Lonchura striata: one gene and its partners. The main gene of each other region encodes a partner of the protein of the gene in region 3 in a complex. Links are inferred from orthologs where the notes say so. Each region holds a gene or a part of one and is shown on either strand. Other genes may lie near its edges. The genes, in order: TMEM17, TMEM237 and TMEM67.

Region 1 (3,748 bases), on a different chromosome or scaffold from region 3:
CTTGGCACAAGAGGCTTAAAGCATTTTGCATTTCTCCATGTTCCAGTAATCACGGGCTTTGATTTCCCTTGAAAAACAGGGATGCAATGGAATAAAGCTGTTCTGGAAGTGGGAGGAGGTTTTGCTCTGTCTCTAGCCATGGAGGAACTATAAGGTTGTGGAGTGCTGCTCTTGCACCTCGTGGCACCCTGCATGCTTCCAGCTGGGATGGCTTTGTGTGAACCACCTGGATTCTCAGAAGCTCTCTGGGAAACTCAAGGAGGGTTTAGGAGCCAAGTTTAAAGTTCCAGCCCTGGGCTGGTACTTCCTAGGGGTATGCAGTGGCTCCTGCACCCTGATTCCTGCCTCCTGCCAGGGCTGATGCTGAGCAAGGACAGGCACAGCTGTGGGGTGAGCTGGAATGTTTTAGAGGTGCTAACCGCTCACTTCCACTTTTCCTAGGCTGTGTTAGCTGGTGCAAGGCTGGGATCAGCTGGGCTGTGCCTGGGTGCTGTTCTGGAGTCTCCACAAAGCTCAGAAACAATGTCTGTGGGTTCAAGCACTGTTTAATGCTCCTTGCCAGGATCAGCTGTGTGGGGTGGAGGGGTCATGCAGCATCATCCCATCTTGGCTGCCTGTCCCCCTGTGCCCTCTGGCTCCAGCTGGCCCCTCGCACCCTCCTGGAACTGCCGCAGGTAGAACTGTGCCGCCAGATGCTTGGTCATGGTCCTCAGTGCCAGGAAGGCAGCCACGATCTCGGGGAGGAGGAAGGTCAGGAACAAGCTGTGCATGGGCACCTCCAGCGGTAGGTGGATGACCTGCCTGTCCATCAGCAGGAAGAGCAGGAGGGGCAGCTGGATCAGGAAGGAGAGGAGCAGGAACCCAGCCAGCTCAGGCACCTGCAAGACCAGAGGCTGCTGAGACAGGGCAAGAAGGCAGTGGTGGGCTGGGGGGACCCTCTGTGCTCCTGGAGCTTCCTGCATCAGCCTCTGCTGGCCTTGGTGCCCAGGGACTAGGGATGTCCCTGCTCCATTGAGTTGTGGTGAGATGCTGTCAAACCCCCCCAGTGGAGAGACACAGCAGGAGGGCAAATGGGTCCCTTTCATTCCTCTCTCCAGGTCATGCCTTCACCCATGATTCTCTTCTAGGACAGTTCCAGGTAGACCTCCAGAGAAAGGACAGTGATGGACACATGGCTCATAAGTGAGGAGAAATCCAGCTCCCCCAGCTGGGCTGATCCTCTCTGAGCACAGAGGCCAGGGCAGGCAGTGCTTACCTTCTCCTGGAGGTTCCCCAGGTAGCCCAAGTAGAGGCGGGAGCCCTCAGCCAGCGAGAGGATAAGGAAGGCTGTGACCAGCAGGAACTGATAGTGCCAAGGCAGCAGGTGGTACTGTTATGGGAGCACAGCCTTGTTCAAGTCTAGCTGTCCATGCCCAGTTTCCCTTTCTTCTATGCACCATTCCCTGCTCTCCATGCCTTGTGCCCTCCTCCCCATACCCAGCTTTCCATGCTCTGCCAGATCTCACCATGCTGGTGCACAGCTCTGCCTACTCTTCCCCCCTGTTTTAACCATTCTTGCCTGGAAAGTTAATGATTTCCATCTCTAGCAGACAGAAATGAACAATCTTTTCTCATGGGGGTCAGGGCATTTTGGGACTCCAGTAATTCTGAAAAGGTTCCTCTGTCCGCTGCCCATTTTGTCCCCCACCCAAGCCCAGGGAGACTTGGCAGGAGCAGCTCCTCCCATCCCCACGTGCCCCATGGGATGGTACCTTCAGGTGCAGCATAATTCCCTCAGCCAGGCACCAGACTGGGAAGTAGTAGACGTTGAAGTAGAGCATCACCTGGAGGGGCAGGCTGGACAGCACCTTTTGAGCTAGGCAGGACAGGCAGGAATAGGCAGGCTGCTCACCAGCCCCGGGGTCCCCCTGCCCAGAGGGACCCCCCCCTCACAGTGGAGGTGAGCAACAGACCCTGGGTCCCACAAGCAGCTGATTGCAGCAAATGTTCTTGATTTTGCTCCCCTCCCTGTTGGGTGGTTTCGGGGACTCTTTGGGTGCTTTGGTGATGTGCTGAGTAGGGTCATGGGGATGGACACCCCCTGTTCCCAAGCCCCCCTGTGCAGGGTCATGGGGATGGACACCCCCTGTTCCCAAGCCCCCCTGTGCAGAGCCCTCTGCGCATACCTGGCTGGTAGCCGTGGGCAGTGCTGCTGTCCCACGTCTTGTTGTTGATGAAGAGGGAGCCACTGAAGGCCACCAAGCCTCGGCGCAGGCTGGGGGGCAGTGGGGTGGGTACAGCCATGGACAGCAATCCTGCTCACACCAGCCCGGCTCAGCCCAGATTAGCCAGGAGGGAATCAGTGAGGTGGCAGGCCAGGCTAATGCGCAGGGCCATATGGCCATTGGCTCCCTGGGGACAGGGCTGCTGACCTGGAACGGGGATCTGAGGAAGGAGAATTCCCACCTTGGAACACCAAGCCCATGCAGGAATCACATGGTGGAGTTGCAAGGAAGTCACAAGTCACAGAGCATCTCCTGTCAACAGCATCTTTAGGGGGTGACAGCAGCTTGTACCCGTCACTGTGACTTGAAGCAACTGCACCCTCTCTCAGCCAGGCTCTATCAATACAAATATTGCTCAAAGACCCCTGACAGATGAGGATGCCTCATGAGAGGATGGTACTCTTCACCTGAAATGCTTCTTCAAGGCCTCCAGGTTCATGGAGCATTTACCCATCACTGTGAGTTCCTCAAGCCCCACCCAGGCTCAGGGGTGCTGGGGAGGGCAGTGGGGGATGATGTGTTAGCGGGTGGCTGAGCCAGAGATGACTGGGAGTGAAAGGTTCTTCAGGAACTTCAAGTTGAAAATCACATAATTATTAAGGTGGGAAAACCCCTCAAAGATCATCAGGTCAAATCATTAACACAGCACTGCCAAAGCCACCCCTAAACCATGTTACATCTACACATTTTTTGAACACTTCCAGGGATGAGGGCTCCATCACTGCCCTGGGAAGCCTGTATAAGAGCTGGACAAACCTTTCCATGAAGAAATATTCCCTAATATCCAAACTGAGCCTCCCCTGGCCCAGCCTGAGCTGTTCCCTCTCCATCTGTCCCCATTCCCTGGGAGCAGAGCCCAACTCCCCGGCTGTCCCCTCCTGTCAGGAGCTGTGCAGAGCCACAAGGTCCCCCCTGAGCCTCCTTTTCTCCAGGCTGAGCCCCTTCCCAGCTCCTTCAGCTGTTCCTGGGGCTCCAGCCCCTTCACCAGCACTGTTGCCTTCTCTGGACACACTCTGTCAGTTCTACCCAACAGATCTAGGTCTACCCAACAGACCTCATGATCTTCAGCTCACCCCATAAGGTGCATCAGAGAAGCTGCAAATAGTGAAAGCAAGTGCTGTAAGTGAGGTCCTTAAGGGCCAGAAACTGTCAAGGAACACAAGAAACCAAAGAAAGAGATTATTCTTTTCCTGAATAAAGCTAAAATGAAATTGCAGAGCTCACTGCCATATGCTGTCAAAACCAAACCATCTGGGGCTGAAAGCATGGTTAAACCAGCACCTGATTGGCTGAAGTTACAGGACCACAGAATGGTTTGGGTTGGAAGAGACCTGAAAGCTCATCTCATCCCACCCCCTGCCATGGGCACAGACATCTTCCACTATCCCAGGGTGCTCCAAGCCTCATCCATCCTGGCCTTGGACATGTTCAGGGAGCCAGGAGCAGCCATAGCTGCTCTGGGTACCCTGTGCCTGGGCCTGCCC
Region 2 (3,748 bases), on a different chromosome or scaffold from region 3:
TCCCTGCAGTATGGATATGCTCAGACAATCAGCCCTAATTCTAAACAGCAGGCAGCTTCAGAAAGATTACAGCTTATGTTTTACTTCAAGAATAATCCTAATGTCAGGATTGCAAGAATTTATCTTTGTATGTGAGGGATTTGGAAGAGGATTAGGAAAGAAGCTCCAACAGGAGATATAATCATACTATATTCTGTGTAGCTCTTGAGCATTTTATGTTACTTTTGTACAAAAAGAAGGGAAATACTGTGAGTACTCAATTACAAGAATAAAGAAAAATCTATTTTGTTGCATGTATTTGTGTTATTTACTTACACATAAATTCAGAAACTTCCTTTTTATTATGCTTGTTCTGGGTTCTATGATGCCTTTATATTCTGCAGGTCTTACAAATTATATTAAGTAAGAATGTGCTTTTTTTGCATGGTGTATGTCAGCATTATTATTTATGAAGGTATTGTTTTGTTGCTAATCCTTTTTACCTTTAAAATAGGAGCAGTGTTGGCATAACAATAATTACTACAAAACCCAGTTAACTTCATAATACTGTAAATATATCTTTTCTGCTCTTCCATCAACGCAAGTGAGTACAAACTGACAGAATGTGGACTTACCAAAGAGGAAAATAATCACAAAACCTTTCTCTTGTTGGTTTGGTCTGTGGTAGCATGGTCTCCTCAGCAAAGGGTTCAGTGCTTGTGGAAACTAAGTTACTCACTCTCTCCACCTCATATTTGTAGCTGTCTTGCCACCTGAGGTACACAGGTGGTTATTTTATTGGCCTACCTCATCTTGGAGGAAAATCAACAAAAGTGAGTTAAGCAGTCTAGAAAGAGGTTATTTAAAGGCAAGTATTACAGCCAACAGGATGCCTGTTTGTTCTAGAGCCAGGGCTTGTATTCCCTGTTTAGAGGTAAAATGGGAGAGAGAGAAGCCCCAATATGTCATTGATGTGGGTATGTACTGGTGAAGGGTGAGATAGCAGCCTGGTCCATGAGCAGCTTCCCCACGTCTGCCTAGTCCCAGCATCTTTGCCTTTTCTCCATGTATTATTTCTTACTTTGGTTTTGTTTTCTTCGATTACTTCATTTATCAGTTTAAGACCCTGGCTACAAACTGAACTAGTCCAGAACTCTTTTCTCCTTGCTTTTGCTTGTCTGCAGCCCGAGAGACGACGACTCCCGCTCGGGGCCCCGGAGCTGAGCTCGCTCCGATGGGCCAGCCGCCGGCAACACGGCGCAGCCAAGGAAAACGGGAAGCCGGACCTCCCAGCGCTGGGGGGCGGTGCAACCGCGGCGCAGGGCGGAAGGAGCAGCGGCTCCTCCCCGCAGAGCCGGAGCTGGGCGGGCGTGGTCCATGGCGGCGCGGCGGGCGGGCCCCGGCGTGGTGAGGGGGCGGTGGGGCCGGAGCGGGAGTGGGGCGCGAACGGCTCCGTGGGGCTGCAGGGCGGGGAGCCCGGCGGCGGGAGTTTGGCCCACCTGAGCGCTGTTGCTGAAGGGATGTGGCGGGCCGCTCCCCAAGCAGCAGCTGCTCAGGGGAGGCGGAGCTGAAGCGCAACGCGGTAGCAGAGCGCCCTGGTAGCAGAGCGCCCTGGTAGCAGAGCGCCCTGGTAGCAGAGCGCCCTGGTAGCAGAGCGCCCTGGTAGCAGAGCGCCCTGGTAGCAGAGCGCCCTGGTAGCGAGGCTCCTGCGTCCCCGCTCCGCTGCGGAGGCGGCGGTGCCCGCCCGGCTGCATCCCGCGGGAAGGGGGGAATGTAACCGGCCGCATGGTCGCACATTTCTGAAGATCTTTGTAACGGAAGCAAGCAAACATTTCCTTCATGTACTTTTTGATATAAACCTCTCAAAAGAAAATCTGCAAGGCTTTAACAAATCTGTGAAGGCTGCTTCAGTATTTTTAAACATTCTGGACATTTAAACCTTTCCTTCTCAGCGTCCTGGAATGGGCATCCGGGGATTTGGATAGTTCGTTTTCCCCCTGAGTGTCCAGGTGCGTCCCACTGTCTTGTGGCCTGGCTCAGGTGTGCAAACACAGGGTTTGACCGAGGCAGCGGCTGCCTTGTTTGTGGGAGTCTCTTGGTTTCGGGGGCATTATTTCGGAGGCATTTTAAAGCACGCAGCGGTTCTTCTGTCCATAACAAAATGTCCATGGGGACCTGTCCCCAGACTCACCCTTTCTATGAAATTTGGGGTAAGTTACTTCAGACTCTGTGAAATTGCAATTAGACAAAAGCTGATAGCTCTATGGCAAAGCTAGGAACTGTCACACAGATGGGCAGATGAGTATTTACAACTGGCTGCTTGCATGTGCTTTCCTGTGTTGCAAGGAATAAATTATACAGAAATCAATGCACTTGCCAGTTGTTCTGTAGAAGGTAATAAAATAAAAAGGTACTACTGAGTATAGAATTACTACTGCATAGGCAGTGAATGCTGTGTCTTGTTTGTTTTTATGGAGTTTTTTAGCATTTAGTTTTTTTAAATACTAAGTATTGTAAACATTTACTGCCACAAGAATGTTGGAAATAATAAAAGTAATGAGATCTGACCTTTACCAATATTTTTTTCCCTTATGGTGCACCAGTATAGCGTGACCAGTCCCCACCAGTTTGCTGGAAGCCCCTTAGGGTGTGCAGTTCTCTACCTGTGTAGCAAGTGGCACTTGCTGTCAATCTTCAGCATGGCCAAAATCCAAGTAAGAGATTTGAAGTCTAATCCCACAAACCCTTCCTTGCATGAGGTATCTCATTTCCTTTGGGTAAACAAACCAATGTAAAACTTGTTTATAAGAACCTGTGCCAGCACGCAGAATGAAGAGTTTTTTAGTGCAAGTAATATTTGCTGTCATAGAACAACCTGCCCTTGTTTCAAATGGGAGTAGTTCTGGGTCCTGACCCAGGGGTAGGAGGGTTCAGGTCCAGCTAATCCTGGCTGCCTGAAGTTTATTTTTAGTTCAGAATTAGCTGCGGTTCAATGTGAGGGAGCTGAGCAGTGTGAGGGAGCCTAGACCAGTTCACAGTGCCTCTTTCAGGGAAGGACTTCAAATGATATGGGAAAGAAACAAGTGGTAAGTTTGTGGCTCCTTGAGTCTTACCAGTCTTCCAACCTTTTTTAGTTCTGGTATTTGAATTTTCTGGGCATGGAAAATACTTTTTTGTGTATGTTCTTTCAATATAATTGTGTAATACAAAATCTGAAAGTTAACTCCTTTTTCTAGGGAAGAGAAAGGTACAAGCTCAGTTTCAAATTATTATTTGGAGATCCTTTTAGATTTTAGGTGTTTGACCTGCTGGTAAATATGTTCAAAATTATATGGAAAAATGATATTTTGTAATATTTAAAAGCATTTTAATAAGTGAGCTTATTTCCTTTTATTGTTTTTATTATTGTTCTGAATTTACCTCATTAATAGAAAATACTCATCTCAGGTTGTATACTGTACAATTACTGAATGCACAATTCATTACAATATTTTATATTTATTTGAATAGAATAACTAATAAGCTTTATAGTGAAGGTGGTACCTTACATGAAAAAGTAGAAATTATTGAAGCTAAAATGTAAGCTGTGTCTCACACAGAGGGTAGCTGTATGTTCCTACTGCAGTGCCCATCAGAACTCTGATAAAGGCATATTAGTTCAGCATCTTTTACATCCTACTTTTATGTAACATCTCCATTAGGAATGTTTGGCCATTCAGGAGGCATACAGAGAAAAACATACCTTGGATGTTCTGATCTGAAGCTGTTT
Region 3 (3,748 bases):
TCTTTGCTTACTATAGTGGGGAAAATCTGGTTTAGCCTGCTGTTTCGGGATCAGTGCTGAGATTATGACAAAAAATTATAACTTAATTTGTCAAGGAATGTCAGAAGAACTGATCAAACTATAATTTTAATTAAAGTAACATAGTAGGAACAGCTCATTTTGAAGTAAGAAGATGAAATATTCTGGATTATGAAGATACAGCCTAAATATTACAGTAATAGTATTTACATAAATAATCAGTTAAGATACCTATGAGCTGAAAAGCATCTTTAACAAGGTATAGAGTTGTGCTCTCTAGACAAGGACAAAGCAGAGAAGAAAAGCAGTGGAAAGAACTTAAATGCTTAAAAAATTATTATTTTGTCTGTGGGGCCAAATTTGTAATGAAAAAAGCCTACAAAATAATAGAAATAGACAACTCTAAATTGAAAAAAAATACTACATATTAGCATGTTCTTAAAAATTCCCAATGAAAGACTATTATGCAAAAATATTTTAAATTAATGAAAAATAACTTGCAGTCAGGATAAAATTTAATATCCCATAATGATTATGATTTGTATTCTATCATTATGGCAAACATGAAACATTCAATACTTACCATATTTTCTGGGCATTTTTCACAAGTAACAGAGAACCCATCATTACTAGAAACCATCCTGTATCCTGGTTCACATTCACAGGAACTACCTGAAGGAAAAAAAAAACAACAAATGCACTTTTAAGCTATATAGAACTGACAGGTTGCAACAGAATACTAAGAATAAATACTATTGTTCTCAAGAGATCAAGATGGATTATTAGAGACATAAAACACTTGAGTGAGATGTGAATGAAAATCATCCTGCTTTTTAAAAAACGCCGATGTTACAGTTTGCACATAGATGTTTTAGGAGAATGTTACACGGCCTCTGATCTACCAGGGTGGAACAGGGACCCAGAGCTTGTATTTTGTGGTTTGTTTTTTTTTTTTTAATTAAACCAAATTTTACCAGTTGGTCTGTAATAGATATAATCTCTCCATTAAATCTTGCCACAACCTTTCCCTCTACAACATAAAACACATTACGTGTTTTTATGTAGGTTTTACTTTTTCAATTTGAAGTCAGCCCTAAAACCAAAATGTGTTCCTGTGAAAAGGTTTTTCAAAATACAACTGTTGCATGAAAAACTGTTTTAAACCCAAGACTTTTAAAATTGTGCATGGGGATCAAGGTTTATATTGAATGGTTTCCAGTGAGTGAACAAAAAATACTTAATATTTTGTATGAAATTAAACACTATTTTAATGGAACAGTATAATGCCCATCTACTAGTGCTAAACAGTTTTTTTAGAAACTTTCCCTCTCTCAGTGTAATGAATTTCCCTCTGTATTTTTAAACACATAGCAGAAAACAAAATTGATTATATGTACTAATGAACTTTTTCTATTGTTGAAGCTTACTGAACTGTGCAGGCAAAAATAATGTCAAATTCTGTGGGAAGTTTATCACTTTAAAGTACATTCTAATGAGACCAGCTGTACAGAAACATTTGTTAAAGTGATCAAACATTTCTACTTAATTCTAAAGAAGAAAAAGCCCAATTGGATTAGATAAATGAAAAGTTTGAGTTGTGACACTCACAGTGACAATACCTAGATTTTTAGGCATGTGACCTAACACCAGAATCCAGACTGATGAGCTAGCCAAGATGGCCCAATTCCACTTGGGCTAGCCAGTGGAATTGGGCAATCTCAAGTGGAATTCAGTAAAGATGCAAACAGCACTGAGCAGCACCTACCTACACTGCTCCAGTTACATCTACAGGAAAAAATTAACCCTTGACCTCTCCTTGGAATTTTCCTCTCCTTGAAGCCCTTTATTTAGAGGAAGATTCAGCCTAAAAAGGAGTTAAGGATCTAGGCACCCTCGTTATCAGGGCATCTGAAAATACTGTATTTTCTTCCAGGAAGTGAAATATGGGGTTCATGGTGGTGGTGAAGGTGAGCAGTTTTCAGGCAGCAGCTGTGAACACAGCCCTGCCCATCACTACTTCCACCCAAACAACCAGCTCTGGACAGAGATGTTGTCAGGTCTTAGTCTCAAATTTGTACACAGGGAACTCCTACTCTTGTTGGACTGTGTATTTTATGAAAGATTAACCCCTTAACACCTCTTTATGGCCAAAAGAAAGCAGCCAACTACCTGTATTTTCCATTTAGTACTGTCAGGCTGTGCTGTATGTGCTCCAAGTTCCCGTGTGGGACTTGGACTAGAACAGGCACAGCCTGAGGATCTCAGACACTTGGTATCTCGGACATTCAAGTCTGACAAGGAGTTTCAAGGTACAGAAGTGCTCGAGAACATAAATTCAGGGTCCTGTAGAATTTCACAGATGAAAATGCAAATACAATATAACGCTCGAGGAAAAGAAAGGTTATTAGAAAAAGGTTGAAAGTAATTTCTCTGAGCTGTATCTCGGACACATCGCGGCTGTCTCAGAGCCGCCCTCGGGCGCGTTCCAGCGCCAGGGCCGGAGCCCGGCTGAGCACCTCCCGCTGCTGGGGACGGGTTCAGCCGGAGCCGCCCGAGCCCGCCTCCCCCACCGCTCACCGCCGGCGCTCTGCCGCTGGTGGGCCCCGCAGGGCGCGCAGGCCAGGCGGGAGCTGTCGAAGTAGCGGTCGGCGCCGCAGTCGGCGGGGCGCTGGAGCGGGACGGAGAAGGCGCGGGCGGGGCGCGGCGCCGCGGCCAGCGCCAGCAGCAGCGCGGCGGCGGCGGCCCCGCGGCCCCGCGTCGCCATGGCCACCGCGCGCGCCGCCCGCGCGCGCCCATTGGCCAGAGCCGCGCGGTACGGCGAGCGCCGGGGGCCCGCCGCCGCAACAAGCGAAGCGTCCGCGGGGCGCGGCGAAGGAGGGCGCGGCGGCCGGAGTTGATGCGTTTGGCTCGCGGAGAGTTTTGTGCGTCTTGTGCGGGACCAGGAGCCAGAAACGAGAGGACACCCCGGCCCGGTTTGCACTTTCCGGTACCTCGTTTCCTGAACTGATGCACAGTGCATCATCCAAATGGAACAGGTGCTTGTAACTTCTCCCCAGAGAGGGTAACAAGGTGAAAATACAAAATGCCGAGAGCAGTGGATGCTCAGCCAGTGTTACTGTTATACCTTTGTGACACTCTTGTTCACGTCCCACAGAAGCACAGAATGAGTCCAGTTGGAAAGGACCATAGCGGGGGGCTTGGTCCAACCTGCCTGCTCAAGCAGGATCATCCCAGAGCACATGGCACAGCTCTGTGACCAGAGCTCCTGAGTATCGCCAGTGAGGGAGACTCCACAGCCTCTCTGAGCAGTCTGTTCCAGTGCACCCGCGCAGTGAAGTTCTTCACGCTCAGGTGGAGCTTTCTCTGCAGGTTTCTGCCTGTTGCCTTTTGTCTCATTCCCTCAGTTGTTACCAAAACTTTGCAACACACTGTGTCCTGGATTTTAGTTATTTCTCATTGTGCCTCTCCTGCGTGCTAGTCGCCTTATGATTTTCAACATTAGCATGTTTTGTTTCTCACTGGATTTATTTTCTTGGCTCAACAACTATTAAAAGGTTGAGTTTATGTTTTCAAATCAAATTACCTGTCCCTAGGCTCACGTTCATGTAAATTTGATTGTGTAAAGACATAACTTCTTAGTGGTGTGCTTGATTTGTGGAAACCCCCACCTTGTACCCTGCACAAAATAAACAATGTCTTTTTTCTAAACGAGACTATCCGTGTTGAAACA

The links.
Region 1: TMEM67 (region 3) and TMEM17 share a complex: the UniProt entries of both Homo sapiens proteins name them as parts of the tectonic-like complex. The link is inferred for Lonchura striata from reciprocal best matches to the Homo sapiens genes TMEM67 and TMEM17.
Region 2: TMEM67 (region 3) and TMEM237 share a complex: the UniProt entries of both Homo sapiens proteins name them as parts of the tectonic-like complex. The link is inferred for Lonchura striata from reciprocal best matches to the Homo sapiens genes TMEM67 and TMEM237.

The regions. Positions count from the first base shown.
Region 1 is NC_134620.1:1,594,451-1,598,198, reverse strand, and holds TMEM17 (transmembrane protein 17), read right to left. Parts: upstream 2,284-3,748; coding exon 2,166-2,283; intron 1,928-2,165; coding exon 1,752-1,927; intron 1,370-1,751; coding exon 1,256-1,369; intron 879-1,255; coding exon 597-878; 3' UTR 528-596; downstream 1-527. UniProt on the Homo sapiens protein: Transmembrane component of the tectonic-like complex, a complex localized at the transition zone of primary cilia and acting as a barrier that prevents diffusion of transmembrane proteins between the cilia and plasma membranes.
Region 2 is NC_134610.1:27,005,085-27,008,832, forward strand, and holds the start of TMEM237 (transmembrane protein 237), read left to right. Parts: upstream 1-1,344; 5' UTR 1,345-1,356; coding exon 1,357-1,386; intron 1,387-3,748. UniProt on the Homo sapiens protein: Component of the transition zone in primary cilia. Required for ciliogenesis.
Region 3 is NC_134603.1:24,492,175-24,495,922, forward strand, and holds the start of TMEM67 (meckelin), read right to left. Parts: upstream 2,695-3,748; 5' UTR 2,596-2,694; intron 691-2,595; 5' UTR 659-690; coding exon 602-658; intron 1-601. UniProt on the Homo sapiens protein: Required for ciliary structure and function. Part of the tectonic-like complex which is required for tissue-specific ciliogenesis and may regulate ciliary membrane composition.